Saccharomyces cerevisiae S288C: one gene and its partners. The gene in region 1 interacts genetically with each later gene. Each region holds a gene or a part of one and is shown on either strand. Other genes may lie near its edges.

Evidence for each region. Genes that interact genetically often act in the same process or in processes that back each other up.
Region 2: mutations in PPA2 (region 1) and TNA1 together harm fitness more than expected from each alone (negative genetic interaction), as found in Saccharomyces cerevisiae (2 studies listed by BioGRID).
Region 3: mutations in PPA2 (region 1) and DLD1 together harm fitness more than expected from each alone (negative genetic interaction), as found in Saccharomyces cerevisiae (2 studies listed by BioGRID).

What each region holds. Positions count from the first base shown.
Region 1 is NC_001145.3:797,346-805,122, forward strand, and holds PPA2 (inorganic diphosphatase PPA2), read left to right. Parts: upstream 1-4,426; coding exon 4,427-5,359; downstream 5,360-7,777. Other genes in the region: YMR265C (uncharacterized protein), read right to left, coding at 1-580; RSN1 (Rsn1p), read left to right, coding at 1,173-4,034; U6 snRNP complex subunit PRP24, read right to left, coding at 5,543-6,877; TMA23 (Tma23p), read left to right, coding at 7,111-7,746. UniProt on the Saccharomyces cerevisiae protein: Involved in energy production. Its activity is stimulated by uncouplers of ATP synthesis.
Region 2 is NC_001139.9:1,010,579-1,016,557, forward strand, and holds TNA1 (Tna1p), read left to right. Parts: upstream 1-1,906; coding exon 1,907-3,511; downstream 3,512-5,979. Other genes in the region: ssDNA endodeoxyribonuclease RAD2, read right to left, coding at 1-188; APL6 (AP-3 complex subunit beta), read right to left, coding at 3,743-5,979. UniProt on the Saccharomyces cerevisiae protein: Involved in the uptake of nicotinic acid.
Region 3 is NC_001136.10:143,358-149,268, reverse strand, and holds DLD1 (D-lactate dehydrogenase), read left to right. Parts: upstream 1-1,679; coding exon 1,680-3,443; downstream 3,444-5,911. Other genes in the region: GLT1 (glutamate synthase (NADH)), read left to right, coding at 1-66; PAR32 (Par32p), read right to left, coding at 191-1,078; AIR2 (TRAMP complex RNA-binding subunit), read left to right, coding at 3,751-4,785; GID12 (Gid12p), read right to left, coding at 5,046-5,911. UniProt on the Saccharomyces cerevisiae protein: Catalyzes the stereospecific oxidation of D-lactate to pyruvate.

The sequences.
Region 1 (7,777 bases):
GAGAGGGATAATATTCTAAGAAATCCCGCATCAACTCTTTTTTATATTTGCTAGTGTACTCAGAAATTGCTCTTTTTTTTAGGCAAACTGCATTGAACCTAAACTCATTTTCTGAGCATTTCCAATGGCTCCTTGCCGTCTGTAAAGCATGCTCAATCAACTTATGGAACTTACTTTCCTCTCTGCCCGTTAAAACGATCGAGATAGTATCCTTGGCAGAATATGACTCCTCCGCCAATTTAACGATATCCGCATTCCACGAATACCTTCTCGGTTTAGTCTTCGAGATCTCAATAGCAGCCTGCAGAAACCCCGGCTCATTCCACCAGCCTCCATTCGGTAGCGTGCTCGATGTCAACAAATTTAGTAGCTCACGTGTATACAATTGCTCTGTAGGACCCGGCGTTGCAAATAATGTATTGTCGAAGTCGTATATGTGCAATTTCGTAATCGCATGCTCAGGAACCTCAAAGGGCACGGCCAACTCGCAAGCGCAACTATTCCATTTTCTGAGCACACGGTGATTGCCACATCTGCTGGACATCTCCCCTTTCCTTCGAAATTCTTCAAATTCTTCCATTATACTCGTTTGGGTTATGCAGACAAACAGCACATATGATAATTCATTTTTTTTCTTCCATTATACGCTATAGTAATGTAAGACCTGATCTACGGGTTCGTTTCTTCTATTTCCGTTACCCGCCGTGCACCACAGCATCGCTGCGGTTCCGTCTGCGTGAGTCGTTCTGCGCGAATCACTTCCCGCAGCTGACATCACAGGGGCGGCCTTTCCTGGCTACGATTTTTTAGCGGGAAAGGCACACCCTTTCTTCTCCTTTCGGGTATAAAGTTTCTTCTGTGTGGATTCTGTGGGCCAGCTTCGGTTTTGAAGTTGGAAAAAAATTCTTCATCTTTGTTTTTTTATCGTGGAAAAGGAAGAAAATACTTGATAACCAACAGCAAAGCCGCATGGCTTGGCACTCGATCTTGATGTTGTCCCGTGCCTGGTTGTATAATATTATTATTAATGGCCATTTCGTAATCAAATTTCGGTTTGTTGTTTTTTTCTATTTCTTTTTCATCTTATATATATTAATTCGTTTGCCTTTTCCGTTTCTTTTTGTTTTAGTAATCATAAGTTTACGGCTTAGCAGCAAGGGCAAAGGGACAAAATGAATAGTACTAATAGTACTAATAGTACTACAACAGCTACCAGTACAAACACGTCAACTCAACAAGTCGTTACTTCTTTGGTAAGTAATGGTACTATTTTTGGTGTTTTTGTCATAGCGTTCTTGATTTTGCGTATAAAACTAAAAAGGATTTATGAGCCCAAATCCTCATTCAATCTGATTAATGAAGAAAAAAAGCCAGAACCGCTACCGCAGGGCGTCTGGCAATGGCTGAAGCCGTTATTGAAAAAATCAGACAATTTTGTCATTCAACAAGCCGGTCTGGATGGATATTTCTTTTTGAGGTACCTTTTCATCATTGCAATTTACTGTGCTGTTTCCATGAGTTATATATTCCCTATTTTGTTGTCCATTAACGCCAGTAACGGTAACCATGAAAGCGGATTGAATCAATTGGCCTATCAGAACGTCAAGCACCGTGGTAGATATTTTGCACATGTTTTCTGTGGATGGATTTTCTTTTGGGGGTTCCTTTACATTATTTACAGAGAATTGTATTTTTACACCTCTATGAAGCAAGCTGTACTAGCGTCCCCTCGTTATGCTAAAAAACTATCCTCGAGAACCGTGTTATTCCAGACTGTCCCTAAGCAATACTTAAGTGAAGAAGAGTTTTCTAAGTTGTTTGATGGTGTGAAAAGAGTCTGGATCGCAAGAGGTTCCGGTTCAATTGAAGCAATGGTCAAAGCAAGGGACAATATGGCCATACAATTGGAAGGTGCTGAAACAAAATACCTGAAAGCAGCATTGAAAAAAATTAAGAAGTTAAACAAAAAAAGTCCGCAATTATCTGTCTCTGATAATATTGCTGAATATGTCCCTGACAAGAAAAGACCACATCATAAAATTAACAAGGTTGCTAAATTCTTTTTTGGTAAAAAAGTTGACACCATATCCTACATTAAGGAGGAGTTGCCCAAGTTAAACCAAAAGGTGAAGGCATTACAAGAAGATCATGAAAATTCATCCCCTTTCAACTCCGTTTTTGTGGAGTTTGAATCCCAATATCAGGCCCAAGTTGCCGCTCAGATCACCACATACCATGCTCCTCTTTTCATGACGCCTGTGTATATTGGTATTGAGCCATCCGATGTCGTTTGGTTTAATTTGAGGATGTTCTGGTGGGAAAGATTAGGTAGGGAAGTCAGTGCGGTTTCAGCAATTGTCGCGCTAGTAATATTATGGGCTTTCCCAGTGGCTTTTGTTGGTATGATCTCTAATATTACTTCCTTGACTAATGAAGTTAAATGGTTAAAGTTCATCTATAAATTACCAAAACAACTATTAGGTTTACTGACATCTCTGGCCCCAACTGTGGCATTGGCCGTTTTAATGAGTTTCTTGCCGAAATTTATTAGGGGTATGGCTATCACTCAAGGTGCTCCATCTAAGCAAAATGTGGAATATTTCACTCAACAAGCTTATTTCGCCTTTCAAGTTATCCAAGTCTTTTTAGTTACCACTCTATCCTCCGCCGCCACTTCCACAGTAACGGAAATTGTTAAAGAGCCCACGAAGGCTATGGATCTACTGGCTTCTAATCTGCCAAAAGCTTCTAATTTTTTCATGTCATACGTTATTCTACAAGGTCTGTCCATTTCATCAGGTGCTCTTTTGCAAATTGTTCCACTAATACTCTTTTATGTTTTAGGTGCCTTTTTAGATGGTACCGTTAGGAAGAAATGGAATCGTTTTTGTGGGCTATCCAGTATGCAGTGGGGGACAGCTTTTCCAGTTTATACAAACTTGGCAGTTATTACTTTCTCCTACTCCATCATTTCTCCGTTGATTTTATTATTTGCTGCCGTCGCGTTTTTCCTATTGTATATTGCATATTTATACAATTTGACTTATGTCTATCAGGAATCACCCGACGCAAGGGGTATTTATTATCCAAGAGCTCTTTTCCAAACTATAGTTGGTATCTACATCGGTCAGATATGTCTATTAGGTCTTTTTGCCGTTGGTAAAGGTTGGGGCCCAATCGTTTTACAGGTAATTGGAATTTGTGTTACCGTCCTTATTCATTTACATTTGAGCGCTGCATTTGATCATTTATCAAAGGTTATACCCGTTGATACCATGAAACCGTTAGATGGTGTATCAGATACACCTTCTTTCAAAAATATTTATAAAGGCATAGAAAGTACAAAGGTGAAGAAAAATACTTTTGGTGCAAATATTGACATGGACGGAATCAAAGAATTACCTGAATTTCCAATAAAGAAATATCACAAGAGGAGTGAATCAGTCACTGAGCAACAAGTTGAAAATAGCATATTTAGTGAAAATACATTCGAATATCAATTCAACCCAGCAAATGAAGCCAATGCAGATGGGCACGCTATAAATGCAGAAAATTTAATTGAGGACGTGCCATTATTAGCAGATGGTGATACAATGAAAATTCCTCCGGCTCCATGGTGGAAGAGATTCTTAAAACCTCACATTTACTACTCCTATAAGGCTGTAAAGAGCAGACTGCCAGAAATATATGGTTTGGTTGATCCTGATGAAAGAGTCAATGATTTCGATATCTCTCATGCTTACGATTATCCAGCTGTTAGTGCACAATGCCCCGAATTGTGGATTCCTCGCGATCCTTTTGGATTTTCCAAATTGTTGATTTCAGACGTTTCTGGCGTTGTTGAAATGAACGATGAAAATGCTACCATCGATGAGAATTTGAAATTTACTCTGCGTGACGTACCACCACCATATAATGATGTTAAAGACGAAGCAAATGGTGAAGCAAATGGCGAATTTGACACAGCTAGTAAGGAAAATAATCCATTTGCGGACCCAAAGTATAAGGAAGAAGAGAGTCGTTCGGCAGTCTAAAGGTTAAACATTATCAGAAATTATCTATTCCTATTTGTTTAGCTGTTATCCTCTGATGGTTGAATTGTAATTTTACTAAGAAAAGGAGAGGAAAAGGACGTGCATATATTCTTTTAATACATTTAAAATATGATTCTAATCATTTCTTATATAATAGTGTATAGTCTAATCATTCATCGTGTATAGTAACCCTTTTTGTTTTTTTTTATGCAAAGTTTTTTTGTTTTTGGCAATCTATGAGGTTTGAATATTGGATAAAAGGAACTCCGCACAGTAATACGGAGCAGTCAGCTAATTTAACCAGCACTAATAGGGAGTACATTCAATTGGAAACTTTGATTCGCTTGTATGCGTGAAAAGCAAATTCCCTTCTAGAGAAGTTACTGAAAAACATGAATTTATTACGAATGAATGCTTTAACAAGCAAGGCTAGGTCAATAGAACGGTTAAAACAAACATTGAATATTTTATCCATTCGTAATCATAGACAATTCAGCACCATTCAACAAGGCAGCAAATATACCCTCGGGTTTAAGAAATACTTGACATTATTAAATGGAGAGGTTGGTTCTTTTTTCCATGATGTCCCTTTAGATTTGAATGAACATGAAAAGACCGTAAATATGATTGTTGAAGTACCAAGATGGACAACTGGAAAATTTGAAATATCCAAAGAACTTAGGTTCAATCCGATCGTTCAAGATACGAAGAATGGCAAGCTTAGGTTCGTGAACAATATCTTTCCCTATCACGGCTATATACACAACTATGGTGCTATTCCCCAAACATGGGAAGATCCCACAATTGAACATAAACTGGGGAAGTGTGACGTGGCTTTGAAAGGTGACAATGATCCTCTTGATTGTTGCGAAATCGGTTCGGATGTTTTGGAAATGGGTTCCATTAAAAAGGTCAAGGTATTAGGATCACTCGCTTTAATTGATGATGGAGAATTGGATTGGAAGGTCATAGTGATCGACGTAAATGATCCTTTATCCTCTAAAATAGATGACTTGGAAAAAATTGAGGAGTACTTTCCTGGGATTCTAGATACGACTAGGGAGTGGTTTAGAAAGTATAAAGTTCCAGCAGGGAAGCCATTAAATAGTTTCGCCTTTCATGAACAGTATCAAAATTCCAATAAAACCATCCAAACTATAAAGAAATGTCACAATTCGTGGAAAAACCTCATTTCAGGATCACTCCAGGAGAAGTATGACAACCTGCCTAATACAGAAAGGGCTGGTAATGGTGTCACACTTGAAGATAGTGTTAAACCCCCTTCTCAAATACCGCCTGAGGTGCAAAAATGGTATTACGTTTAATATGAAAATAATACCTTCGAAGAAAATGTTTAGATAAAGGTTCCTTGTATATAATTACGTAATCTCTGCTCTCTCGAATGTTGGCTGCTTGATGTATGTGAACGTTTGGAAAGAAACTTGGGTTTATATTCACTGCTAAAATGACATCCTATTAGAAGTTCGTCTTTCTCCGGTTCGGTTAGTCTACTCACCTAGAAACATCTTGCGAAAATCGTCGTTGGACATCTGCTCTTGTTTGTCAGGAATTTTTTTCTTTACTTGAAGATTTGGTCCTTTTTCCATCATGTTTATACAACTAGGTTTGACGTGTTTCATGCTGTGATTCTGTTGATTGTTATAATATCTTTTCATGTCATTAATAGTACCTGAACGTATCACCTTTCCCTGAAATTGAGATCCATTTAGTATCATTAGCATTTTTGCTGCAAACTTACTATCTCTAAATATAATAATGGCGCCATTGAAGTCGCTAACGAGAAGTATTTTCCTAATATCTTTTTCATTGATGTGTATTTCTTCCTGAAGAAATTGGCAGATTAAGCTTGGTGACACCTTATCTGAAAGTGGAAATAAGCATATTAGTGTTTCTAGTTCTTTGCTGTTACGCGATGCGAGAAGTCTTTTGACTTCGTTTCTTTCTAAGAATGGTTTTTTATCAGCCAAGGAAACGGAAATTTCCCTATTACCTAACAAACTTCTATTCATTTGAAGTGCCCTTTCAGCAGAATCTTTATTTTCAAAAACCATAAATGCACAACAGTTATTGAAACTGTGCTCTTTCTGTCCAGCAGGTATGTTGATTTTTTCAATGGAACCAAATCCCTCAAAAGATTCCCTCAGAAGGTTTTCGTCGAGCAATTCTGTACTTAGGTTTCGTATCATAATCTCTCGCCCCTCTAGTGTGGCAGAATCGGTCCGTTTCGACTTTTCCAGCGGATTGGAAACTTTAGTAACTAAAGTATAACCTTCTATTTTGAGTCCATTCAATTTTTCTACACAATATCTTGCATCCTCTTTAGAAGTAACATCGATGTAAGCGAACCTTCTGCTTGTATTGAATCGTAAACTGGGAAGCCGTATACTGAGTGCAACAACGTTAATATCTTGCAATAGATCTCTAATATTTCTTTGAGTATAACTTGGGGGGAAATTCGTCATCCATAATGTGCATTCTGTTAAATGAGATACTATAATTTCATTCTGACCTACAACTTTGTGTGTTTTGGTTATTGCAGCGAGGGCTCCATCATACCTGGCAAATTCAATACGTGCAAAACGAAAGTTCTTCTTCAGCGAATCCGCAACATCAACGTGTATAATGGGCCCACAATGTTTGAAGTACTTATAGACTTTGTTTTGATTATAGCTCTTAGGCAAATTTTTGACTAATACAGTTGTTAATTCTCTATTTCTTGTTAAAGCTTCGTTCGCCTTCTTAGAAGTTAATCCTGCGGCTGCTGGTGATCCTTCATCCAATGGTCGTTTTGAATCTGGTCTAGCGTGATGTCCATACTCCATTATCACAGATTATGAAGTGAATATGTGGGCTTGTTTATCGCTAATGATTCTCATATAATAAATATAAAGGGTTTTCAATGTTGTAGTAAATCTGCCATTTTGAATAAGTTCCCGCCTGAAAATTTTTTAGCGATGACTTTAAAAAAGACATTGATGCACTCTACAATTCATTGTCATGATGTACATAGAAAATTGAATGATACAAGCGGAAATATTATCAGAATAAATCGGACATGGATAGCAAAGAATATCTGATATCATATGGTTGGAAAGAAGGAGAAGCGTTTAGAGAAGGTGGTTTGAAAAGACCCATACTGGTAAAGCACAAGAGAGATAAGAAGGGATTGGGTAATGCTCCTGGCGGGAATGATGGCGAAGCATGGTGGGAAAGGCTATTTGATGGACATCTGAAGAACCTGGATGTAAGCACTGATTCGAATAATGGCAGTATTAAATTTACTCAAAATGAGGCAGTTGCTACTGCTGTATCGAAAAGTAGCTCACCTCTATACAGGTGGTTTGTAAAGGGAGAAGGGCTGAAAGGAACCATTACTAATCTTGGTAAAAAGGAGGAAGCCAGCTTTGTTGTATCTAGTGCAAGTTCGAGTAAAGGGAAGAAGAGAAGAAGGCGTGATGAAGATGATAACAAGGTCAAGAGAAAAAAATTGAAAAAAGATAAAAAGACTAGTAACGACAGTGAGAGTAAGAAGAAGAAGAAGAAGAAAAGCAAGAAGGAGAGTAAAAAAGGAAAGAAAAGTAAGCATAGCAGCGATGAAGGTGATAAATCGAAGCATAAAAAATCCAAAAAGTCAAAAAAACATAAAAAGGAAGAAAGTTCAGCAAGAAGAGATAGAAAGGAGCATATATGATTATCATAGTCTAATATGTAAATATGTATCC
Region 2 (5,979 bases), on another chromosome or scaffold:
CAAATTCTTCTAAAGAACCCAGTAATATGAGAATTCTTCACTGCATTCCCCTCCTGATCACGGACAGCTTTCAAAAACTGATATATCCAAATGGAGGCATCTACTGCCATTCTCTTATCTTCCAAGGATTCCAGCCTGACCGGTCTTGCCGTAGGACCTGCAATATCCCAAAATGAATGCACACCCATGTCTGAAGTTTGGCGTTCTCCCGAAAATGCTTTTCTTCATGGATGACGTGTAGAACCTTCAATGATTTACGTACAGTTTTTCAATCCCTTTAAGGTCTCTATATGTGGCGGCATCTTTTCTTTTTCTTTTCTTTTTTTTTTTTTCACTCTCCCTTTTAATGCCTCCACGGAGGTTCGAATGGGTTATACTAGAAAGAAAAAAAAATAGTGATAATTAACAATGAAAAAAAAAAAACAGCAACAAAATGTGGTATTGGGGTCACACCACTCATTGACTCACATCCTCTGGAAACATCAAAAAGCTACCAAAAAAGAAAAAAAAAAAAATTCAAGTGCGAAGTTTCCGCATATGCAAACCTTACTTATTGTATAATATTGGTAACAGCAGCTACTAAGCTCCCTGACTCTGATTTCTCTCTCTGTCTCTTTTGAGGAGTACCTTCTGCGCTACTGTGTTCCAATGGTATCTGCGCCTTGAAAATCAATCACAAACGCTCTTGCTATGGCCTGCCTTGGACACGATACGTCGCTGCTTATGCCGCCAGGTGTCAGTAAATGCTCTGACGCACCCATTCACCCCGCGCACTAATTTGCAAAATTTGGGGGCAGTTTGGGAATACTCCATAGAAAAAATCGACTTCAAATCAATTCCGCACAACGTCGCCGTGTTGGCTAAAGTGAACGGAAAATGGACGACATGGTAAAAGAACAGATATGTACATATACAGAAGCCGCGATTTCACATGCCGGCCATTATGGCACACAACCAGGTCTTGTACTGTCACTATGTGCGTTCCGGAACGCCTGTACAGTCCATGGTGAACCATTTATTTATTTATTATTATTATTTTGTACATTATTATTTATGCTATATGTTATTATTATTATCACTATTTAATATTATTATTCGGGTCCAGGTGAAATAACAAAGTCTGGCGCCAGTCACTTGTCTGGGTGCCCGTATTCTCTGTTACAGCGGTATCCCTCTGGATTCTGCAATCGTCGCCGGCTTCTACTAATTTTTCCTTTCCTTTTTGTTTTTTTTTTTTTTTAGTTTTTTATTTTCTAGTTTCCTGCTCGTATTCTGTTGGTTTTTCCAGTGTCTCTCTCCTTTTACAAGTCACCCATTCTCTGCGAAGAAGCGGTCGCACCAACAAAATAGAAAATACCACCGGACGCCGGATCGCTTATTACTCGCAATCATAGTTACCAATCACAGCCGGGCATACTCGGGATCTACCGTAGAATCCTATGCGTCACACATGAGGACAGGTTACGAACCGTCGAAGGCTTCGCGGCGTGTGTGATTAGTATTGTTTTGACCTCATCCATACACCCTGAAATATCTGTCGCATCTCCGATTACGTTAAAAATTCTGGATAATATATAAACCATGAGTTTTCCTTTCTTTGAAGTATGTTCCTACTCGAGATCCTTTTGTTATTTTATTGCCATTTTTTTTTTGTTTCATATGTACTTCTTATCTACTATTTATATTTCTCTATATTAACTAACTCTCCAAGCTATAAGCATACGTCCATATTTACTGTCTTAGAAGTCGTATTCACATCACAGTTTTCCCCCTCTTCGCCTTTTTCAAACTATTTTCCCCCGTGAGACAGCGACTGAAAAAAAAACGACTGCGCAGAAGGCTTATATAAAAAAAAAAAGAAATATTTCTTCACTTTCGAGCATTGAACTATTGTCATTACCTCTAGATGAGCAACAAATTTACAATGGAGTCACCTAAGCATTTGGTGGATGATGTGCTTTTCATATCACCCACCAATGATGGATCAGAAGAAAAGCCTACGGAAGTCACGTTCCAGGAAGATGAAGGCCATGACGCTAGCTTGCATAATCGCAGCCATGACAAGAAGTCGGAACTTGCCACCGAACGGGAAATTATGGCTACTACCACGGATGATGACGGCATCCCCTCCCCTTCCCATCCAATGGAAAAGCGTGTCTTGCGCAAAATGGATATATACTTGATTCCTCTTATGGGGATGCTATATTTCCTTTCTAACCTGGATAAATCGAATATTGGTAACGCAGAAGTTGCAGGTCTATCCAAGGATATCCACCTTGTAGGAACGCAATATAACACATGTGTCACAGTTTTTTTCGCGACGTATGTTCTTTTCGACCCCATAGGTACTAACCTTCTGAAAATTATGGGTCCGCCATTAATGATGAGTATCTGTTTGACCTGTTTCGGTGCTATTTCGCTCGGAACTGCTTGGGTTAAGAATTATGCTCAATTGATCGTTGTCAGACTACTACTGGGTGCCTTTGAAGGTATGATTTATCCCGCTATTAACATGTACCTTTCAGTCTGCTATAGAAGAGAACAATATGCTCTGAGGTTCGCTTTTGTCTTCAGTGCAGCCTGTTTGTCTTCATCTTTTGGTGGGCTGATTGCTTATGGTTGTTCCAAAATCAGCGGTTCTCTAAAGGACTGGCAATACATTTACATTGTCGAAGGTTGTATCTCTTTGGGGTTCGTACCATTCTATGCCTTCGGGTTGAGCAAAAATTTGGAGGATTCGTGGTTTTTCAATAAGGAGGAAAAAGAGTACATTTCCGAAAGATACAAGACTATGAACACTTTTGACCCGGACGAAAAATTTGAATGGTTCCAAGTGTGGCAAGCAGTTAAGGATGTCAAGACTTGGGCTAGTGCTGTGGCATTATTCGGTATCGATTTGACTACTTTTGGTCTAACAGTCTTCTTGCCGATCATCATTACCAGTATGGGGTTCACTAATGTCAGAGCTCAATTAATGACCGTGCCCATCTATTTCCTTACAGCAATTGTGTTCTTCATTTGTGCCGTTTGGTCTGATCGTATAAAGTTGAGATCTCCATTCATCCTGGGTGCTTGTCTGACGACTTCGATAGGCATAGCTATCGTCCTTGGTTCTCAAGTTCATGGTGTGAGATATTTTGGCGTTTACATTCTTTGTATGGGTATTTACGTTAATGCTGCCTGTAACTGTTTATGGTTAAGTGGTAACACTGGTAATTACTTCAAGAGAGCCACCGCTTTAGGAATTAATCTATTTTTCGGGTCTGGTTCAGGGTTGGTCTCTGGTCAAATTTTTGTTGCCAAAGACAAGCCAAGATATATCAAAGGGCTGTCGATTAGTCTGGCCTTTCAAGTCTTCTCCATATTTATGACGGTTGTGCAAATTTTCCTATACAAGAGGGAAAACGATAAAAAGAAAGCAATAATAGATCGCTGTAATGAATTGGGAGAGCCTATTCCATACGACGAAAGGTTAAGCGACAAAAACCCTGAGTTTAAGTACATGTATTAGGCTTGACTTTCTTCACCCTCCACTTTTTTTGCCCCTCGTTATGAGTGTGTTTGCAATTTGTAACTTTTCTTTTATATTTGTATGTATTTTTGTACTAAGCAAATTCACATGAAACTTTGTTTACCAACTTCTCTTTTGTTTTCGTCCCAAACACGTATATTACTGGGAAGATATACATGCCTATATCTATATCTATAAATATACATATTTATATAGTATTATCTCCGAGTTCTAAAGCTCCAGATGCGAAGAAGACGTTCCCGAAGAAGACGTTCCCAAAGAAGAGTCACTATACTCATCATCGTCACTGCTCTCTTCCGATTCGTCTTCATCCTCGTCACTGCTTTCTTCCACCACCTTTATAATTTTCCTTGGTTTACTCTTCCTTTCTGGAATGTCGGAAAAAAACTCGTCCAGGCTTTGCAAACGATATTTCTTCCCGTTTTGAGATGTGAAGGTGTTTACGTTACCTTTACCTGAGATGCTATTGCTATCGCCGTCATTGATCCCAGTCAATTTTGCGTTGGAGCTAGATGTGAAAGATCTTGCTGAGTTGTTGGTAATAAAAGACTGCGATGAAAAACTTTTTTTGTATTTGTTATAGTCTTTCAATTCTGCGCCTTCTCTAATATCGTTACCTGTCTCGCCAACCTCAGTAATTTCAGTATTCCAAGGAAGCATTCTAAAAAATTCTTTTATTTCTGGGGTATGTGTTTCCAATCTTGCAGAAACGATAAAATCGTCACTTCTTGCCGTAGGTTTAGGTGCTTGTAATAGTAGTGACACAATTTCATATTTCCCTGAATCAAACAAGGATGAAATCATCCTGGCTCTATCCCTAATATCAAATTCGTCATCATATTTTGCCAAGTAAAGGACCGCATTGTACATTTGAGAGATTCTTGAACCACTAAAATCATAGTATGGGGGATTTTGGTTATTTTCTTCGCTTCCAGTAACTTGCGCTTGCTTAAAATTATCAATGTCATATGACAACAGTTTTGCTGATAACACTAAGATCTGACATCTTGTCTCAGGACCCTCATTTGAAAAATTCTGGATTAGCCTCCTCAAAACGTCCGGACATATCTTAAATTCAATCGAGGCAATTTCACCAAATAACCAAACAATACCTGCACGAGCATTATCAGCCAAACTCGTTTGAACTGTTAATAAATCTGCAAGCTTGAAGATTATGCGAAGATGTTTTGTAGGATTTTTTTGCACCAGCATCCTGATAACATTCACGTATGCATCTAGGACAGAAGCAGAGAGGTTGTGGGATTCCATATGATCAATTAACCACTTCATTACATGTGATTCCCAACTCGTTGACAATTGGCCACATCGAGATAATGACTTAACCGCCATAATAACAACATTTTCTGGGAAATGAGCACTGGCAACATAATATTTCAATTCTTTGAATATTTCTTTAACGTTTGATTCATTTATTAACGTGGACAAAATTTGGATCTTCCAAATTGATGCCACAATAGGATCTTTGGGGAAAACGTAAAATTTCTTGGTGTAGGGTAAAAATAGTGTCTGGTCTAAGATCGATAAGAAGTGAATTGCTTGTAAAAGCATTTCTTTGTTACCTTGGTTTTCTGTCATGGTTACCGTTCTAACCAATGCTTCAATAAATTTAGTATTTTTCATCTGCAATGGTGAAGCTAACTGATATAGCGCATTGCAACACGATAAAATCACTGTAGGGTTGGAACTATAAATTAAGCAATTCAAACTCTGTAGAAATAAATCTAAATCAGGGTCATTTACCACCTCGTAAGATGGGTATTCAATCTCGTTGTATTTATCTGGTAAAGGACAACTCCTTGGGGAACCTTCTGATGATTTATCGACCACAGTTGGTTTTGGTAAATACTGCTTACAGTACTTGATTAGCAGCTCAATTAAATATGATTGTGACCACGAATCTAGTTGCTTAATTATTCTACAATATCTGCGAAAATGTCCATGCAATAGCTCCAAGTGATCCGCATAACATTCTTTGTAAGCTAGGACAGCACAGGATATCACCTTAGGATCTGTATCTGCCATTAATTCTTTCAGAATATCCAACAATTCTTCATGATAGTCATTCTTTCCAGCCCTATATAATTTGATAATGGCCAAGGCGACTTCACCACGAACCATTGCAGATGGATCTGTAACCAATTTCTTGACAGTATGCAAAATTATAGGTGCTAATGATGACATTTTCATGTCAGAAAGGGCACTCAAAGCAAAGCATCTCAGTTCGGAATTCGAATCAGACAATGATTTTTGAAGAGAATTAATAGATAACAGGGTCAGGTTTGGGTCATTTTCTGCAAATCTAAGTAAATACAGGTGAATAAGTCTTTTCACTTTGGTGTCATTAGTGGTGATATTCTTTACAACATCAGCAAAGTATAATTGAACGTCAATAGAGTCATCATCGGAAGCCATTATAGATATTATTC
Region 3 (5,911 bases), on another chromosome or scaffold:
CCAAGTAATGGTGGTATCGTTCAACGTGATTACAAACTATTGAAAGAATTAGCTAGTCAAGTCTAAAAAGCTTGAGTTATTATTTATTTTATGATCGTATATTATTTATTTATTTATTTATTTATTTATTTATTTATTTATTTATTTATTTATTTTATTTAGTTTATTAATTTTGCTGATGAATGTTATTTCAATTAAACATAGTTTTCAAAGAACTGAAAAACCCTGATTTCTTCTTCTTCTTCTTCTTCTTCTCTTTACCATTGTCATCTTTCAAATTAAACTTATCTTCATCATCATCGTTTAAGTTATGGTTGATAGTGTTCCTGCTTGACTTTGGAGAAATTATGTTTCCAGCGCCACCTCTTCCAATAGCAAATTTTTCCGGTGCGCTTTTGCCCTTGAGCTTATTTTTAGGCTTCTTGGACGTGGACTTGATTGCCGCCAAAGCATTGCCATTGGAAGTCACCACAAACAGGTTGTCCTCGTTTGCATTGATAGTATCCTCATCCTCGATATTGCCGCCTCGTATCTCATCCTCTTCATTTCCACCATTGCTGGCCACCTTTTTTTTGTTGAAGAAAATGTTTCCTGCCCCACCTCTACCAACGACAATTGGGGCGTTGTTGTTCGGAGACGAAGTGGTGGCATGCAAAGACTGATGGCTCCTTGTAGCGCTGATACGAGACCTGGTGTTGGTCACCGGGTTTGACCCACCTTCATCCACCATATCCGAAGTTATAGGGGAAATATAATCGTCGATGTCATTGATCACGTCGTTATAGTTGATATTGTCGTTAGAGTCCAGTTGTTGGGCGGATCTCGTCAGGTGCGGATCATGAAAGATATTACCGGCACCACCTCTACCAATTGCAAAACGAGGAACCTTTTCCTGGTTGCTACCGTTATTATTGTTGTTTGCTACTGTCTTTGAATTGGATTTCAATGGAAGAAGTACGGGAGACGGCTTGGACATAGATTTATGGATGTTGCCAGCTCCGCCTCTGCCAGTGGAGACCTTGTACTCTTGTACACGTGCCTGGTTCTCCATCTCGTTTTGTGGGTTGAACGTAGCCATACTAACTTGGTCTTACGCTACTGCTGCTGCTAACGCTGCTGCTGCTTTTGCTCATATGCTTCCATTGACCGTCATTAGTATCAGCGTCAGCCTTTTTGACATAAGCCACCGCTCTGTCAGGGTAACCCTATGAAACATTTCAAAACGTTATAAAGGAACTCGTCTGGTTACAACAAGGAAATATCACTACAAACAGCTGTCCGTACGGCTCCTCAACTCTCTCAATGTTGTTCGCCTGGTCACACACAGCATAGTTTCGTCATTCGGCGCCGACGGTCGCTGTCTCTTGGAGCCTTCAAGCTCTTGTCAACCCAGGTCCGTTGTGCCGATAAAAGTAACAGCAGACCCCCACGCCCGCATCCCACTCTCTTCTCCGACCACCTCCCTCGAAGTTCTTCCCTGCCAATCCCACGTCGATCCAGCGTAGTTGGCCCCAACTGGTGCAGTAATAACCGCTTAGCGATTTTGCACTCGGAACTACATATGTATATATATATGTGTGTGTGTGTGTGGGCTGGAAAGATTTCTTGAGCTTCCGTGTTATAGTGCAATTTAAATATTGTACATCATTCCGATCCAGCTGGAAACAAAAGCAAGAACAATGTTGTGGAAGCGTACTTGCACAAGGCTAATAAAGCCTATTGCACAACCTAGAGGAAGGCTGGTGAGAAGATCATGCTACAGATACGCCTCAACAGGCACAGGCAGCACCGACAGCAGCAGCCAGTGGTTAAAATACTCTGTCATCGCCTCTTCAGCTACTCTATTCGGTTATTTGTTCGCTAAGAACCTCTATTCTAGGGAGACTAAGGAAGATTTGATAGAGAAGCTGGAAATGGTCAAAAAGATCGACCCAGTAAATTCTACGTTAAAGCTGTCCTCATTGGACTCACCAGACTATTTGCACGACCCGGTTAAGATCGATAAGGTTGTTGAGGACCTGAAGCAGGTGCTGGGAAACAAGCCTGAAAACTACTCTGATGCGAAATCCGATTTGGACGCCCATTCAGATACCTACTTCAACACGCATCACCCCTCTCCCGAGCAAAGACCTAGGATTATATTATTCCCTCATACTACCGAAGAAGTTTCCAAAATTTTGAAAATATGTCACGATAACAACATGCCAGTTGTACCCTTCTCGGGCGGAACGTCCTTGGAGGGGCACTTCCTGCCTACAAGAATTGGAGATACCATAACCGTAGACCTGTCCAAGTTTATGAATAACGTCGTAAAATTTGACAAGCTGGACCTGGACATCACCGTGCAGGCCGGTCTACCCTGGGAGGATTTGAATGACTATTTGAGCGACCACGGTTTGATGTTTGGCTGTGACCCTGGTCCAGGTGCACAGATTGGTGGTTGCATTGCTAATTCTTGTTCAGGAACCAACGCCTACCGTTACGGTACCATGAAGGAGAATATTATAAACATGACTATAGTGTTGCCGGACGGGACCATTGTCAAGACGAAGAAAAGACCCAGAAAGTCGAGCGCTGGCTATAACTTAAATGGTTTATTTGTGGGAAGTGAAGGTACCTTAGGTATTGTTACTGAAGCTACTGTCAAGTGTCATGTCAAGCCCAAAGCTGAAACTGTTGCGGTGGTATCCTTTGATACTATCAAGGATGCGGCCGCATGTGCTTCTAATCTGACTCAGAGTGGTATTCATTTGAACGCCATGGAGTTACTGGATGAAAATATGATGAAGTTGATCAACGCATCTGAATCCACGGACAGATGTGATTGGGTAGAGAAACCAACTATGTTTTTCAAGATTGGTGGGAGATCTCCCAACATTGTCAATGCTCTTGTGGATGAAGTTAAGGCTGTCGCCCAGTTAAATCACTGCAACAGTTTTCAGTTTGCTAAAGATGATGACGAAAAATTGGAATTATGGGAAGCTAGAAAGGTCGCGCTATGGTCTGTGCTAGACGCTGATAAGAGCAAAGACAAATCAGCTAAAATTTGGACAACTGATGTAGCTGTTCCTGTGTCGCAGTTCGACAAGGTTATTCACGAAACTAAAAAGGACATGCAAGCTAGTAAGCTGATCAACGCCATTGTTGGTCATGCAGGTGATGGTAACTTCCATGCATTCATCGTCTACAGAACCCCTGAAGAACACGAAACCTGTAGCCAACTTGTTGACAGAATGGTCAAGAGAGCACTGAACGCAGAAGGCACTTGCACGGGTGAACACGGTGTTGGTATTGGTAAAAGAGAGTACTTGCTCGAAGAATTAGGTGAAGCACCCGTCGATTTGATGAGAAAGATTAAGCTAGCTATTGACCCAAAGAGAATCATGAACCCGGACAAAATCTTTAAAACTGATCCAAACGAGCCCGCTAATGATTACAGGTGAGTATCTGATTTTCCTTTTTCACCCTTCACGTAAACCTGAAATATATTTCATGTAATATATATAGTTCATCCTTAAAGAAAACATACCATTTCAAAATGCCCTTTCCCAGTAGCTAATACATGCTTAAAAATGTGATATATATTATTACCATCAAATGTATTCATGATCCGGGTAGTGCCTTTTTTTCCTTCAAACACTAATGGGATGGGAAGAAACATTTCGAAAAAAGTTATGACTATTGGCAGCATCAGAGAGAATTAAACCTTACCTGTACAACGATAGCAGCTTACATCACTTCCTCGCAGTCATGGAAAAAAATACGGCACCATTTGTCGTCGATACGGCACCCACAACTCCTCCAGATAAACTTGTAGCACCTTCTATAGAGGAAGTAAATAGTAATCCCAACGAATTAAGAGCTCTTAGAGGGCAGGGTAGATATTTTGGCGTAAGCGATGATGACAAGGATGCCATTAAAGAGGCAGCACCTAAATGTAATAATTGCTCTCAAAGAGGTCATTTGAAGAAGGATTGTCCCCATATAATATGTTCGTACTGTGGGGCGACGGATGATCATTATTCTCGACATTGTCCGAAGGCTATCCAGTGTTCAAAGTGTGATGAGGTGGGTCATTACAGGTCACAATGTCCACATAAATGGAAAAAAGTTCAGTGCACTCTTTGTAAGAGTAAGAAACACTCAAAAGAAAGATGTCCTAGTATATGGAGAGCATATATTTTAGTAGATGATAATGAAAAGGCTAAGCCCAAGGTCCTTCCCTTTCATACTATATACTGTTATAACTGCGGTGGAAAGGGGCACTTTGGTGATGATTGCAAGGAAAAACGATCATCTAGAGTACCTAACGAGGATGGAAGTGCGTTCACTGGTTCTAATTTGTCAGTTGAGCTAAAACAGGAATATTACCGTCACATGAACAGAAATTCGGACGAAAATGAAGACTATCAATTTAGTGAGTCCATATACGATGAGGATCCACTACCGAGACCTTCCCATAAAAGACATTCCCAAAACGATCACTCTCATAGTGGCAGAAATAAACGTAGAGCATCGAACTTCCATCCTCCTCCTTATCAAAAGTCTAATGTCATTCAACCAACTATAAGGGGCGAGACGCTGTCACTCAATAATAATATTAGTAAAAATTCACGGTATCAAAATACAAAAGTAAACGTCTCGTCGATATCGGAGAATATGTATGGCTCCAGATATAACCCTTCTACTTATGTTGATAATAACAGCATTTCCAACTCTTCCAATTACAGAAACTACAATTCTTATCAACCATATAGGAGTGGTACCTTGGGGAAAAGAAGATAACTTTAAATAGGAAGCCCTTTAACAAGCTGTTCTTGGTTACATTATATTTTCTTAATGAAAGATTAAAGACAATACCTAATTCGACCATTAATCAAAATAGCATGTAAATTTCTTACATCTTCTTGTTGTGAAAAAAAAAGGCCTTCGTGCAATCACAGGTAATAATAATAACATATACATACATATACGTAAATACGTCTTATAACTCCTGCTACCTCATACGCTATTTTCTATTATGGCTAACATCTATGCAACTCAATTTAGTCTCTTTTTACCTTTTTCACAATGAATGTATAAAGGTCCTTTTCATCGTAATCTAACCTTCTTTTTTGTGCATTTAAACCGTCATAATCGATTAGAGCAAGTTTGTCGACAAACCGATCTTTTCTATTTAGCTTTAGTGAATCGCACAGTTTTATTCTTCCTAACCTGCAGTTTTTGAAAAATTCGCCTTTAAGAACAGTTATCTCTCCTGCCATTGATGTTACCACCAAGTGAAACGTAAGGGCGCAAACATTGTCTGTGCCTACGTCTATATCATTAATTATAACAATTGTATCATTAATCAATCCGAAATCATGGGGTATTATCCGAATAGTATCCTTGGAATTCCTTAACAAATTTTTGGTATTTTTTATTTCAAATCTATTTATCAACAAAACTCCATGTGTGTCCAATATAAAGCATAAAGAATCATCCAGCATAAATAATTTCTTGAATGAACATAAATTTCCCAATGCCTGCTTGAATTGAGCTGTCTCATCATCTATCACTTGGCCATCCACCTTCATTTGACTTTCTGCCCACTCTTCTTCATTAGTTCCATTTTCAGAGCCATTTTTGTTCGATAATGAATCGATTTTAATTATTGGTTCATCATAGTACCGAGGTCGGAATGCACTCAACGTGACGAAATGATCGATGCACACAATGTCCATCTTTTTGTAATTATCTGTTAGAAAAGAAGTCATTGTTTCATCACTTTCATCTGTAGTGTTATCATCTTCATTCACCCCATCATTTCCATTTCTATGAGAAATCTTTTCAACAATTTCAAAATCTACCATAAATGTATTCCTTCTTAATCCTCGGATAAAAGAATCTAATTCCCACTTCGTTGAACAGG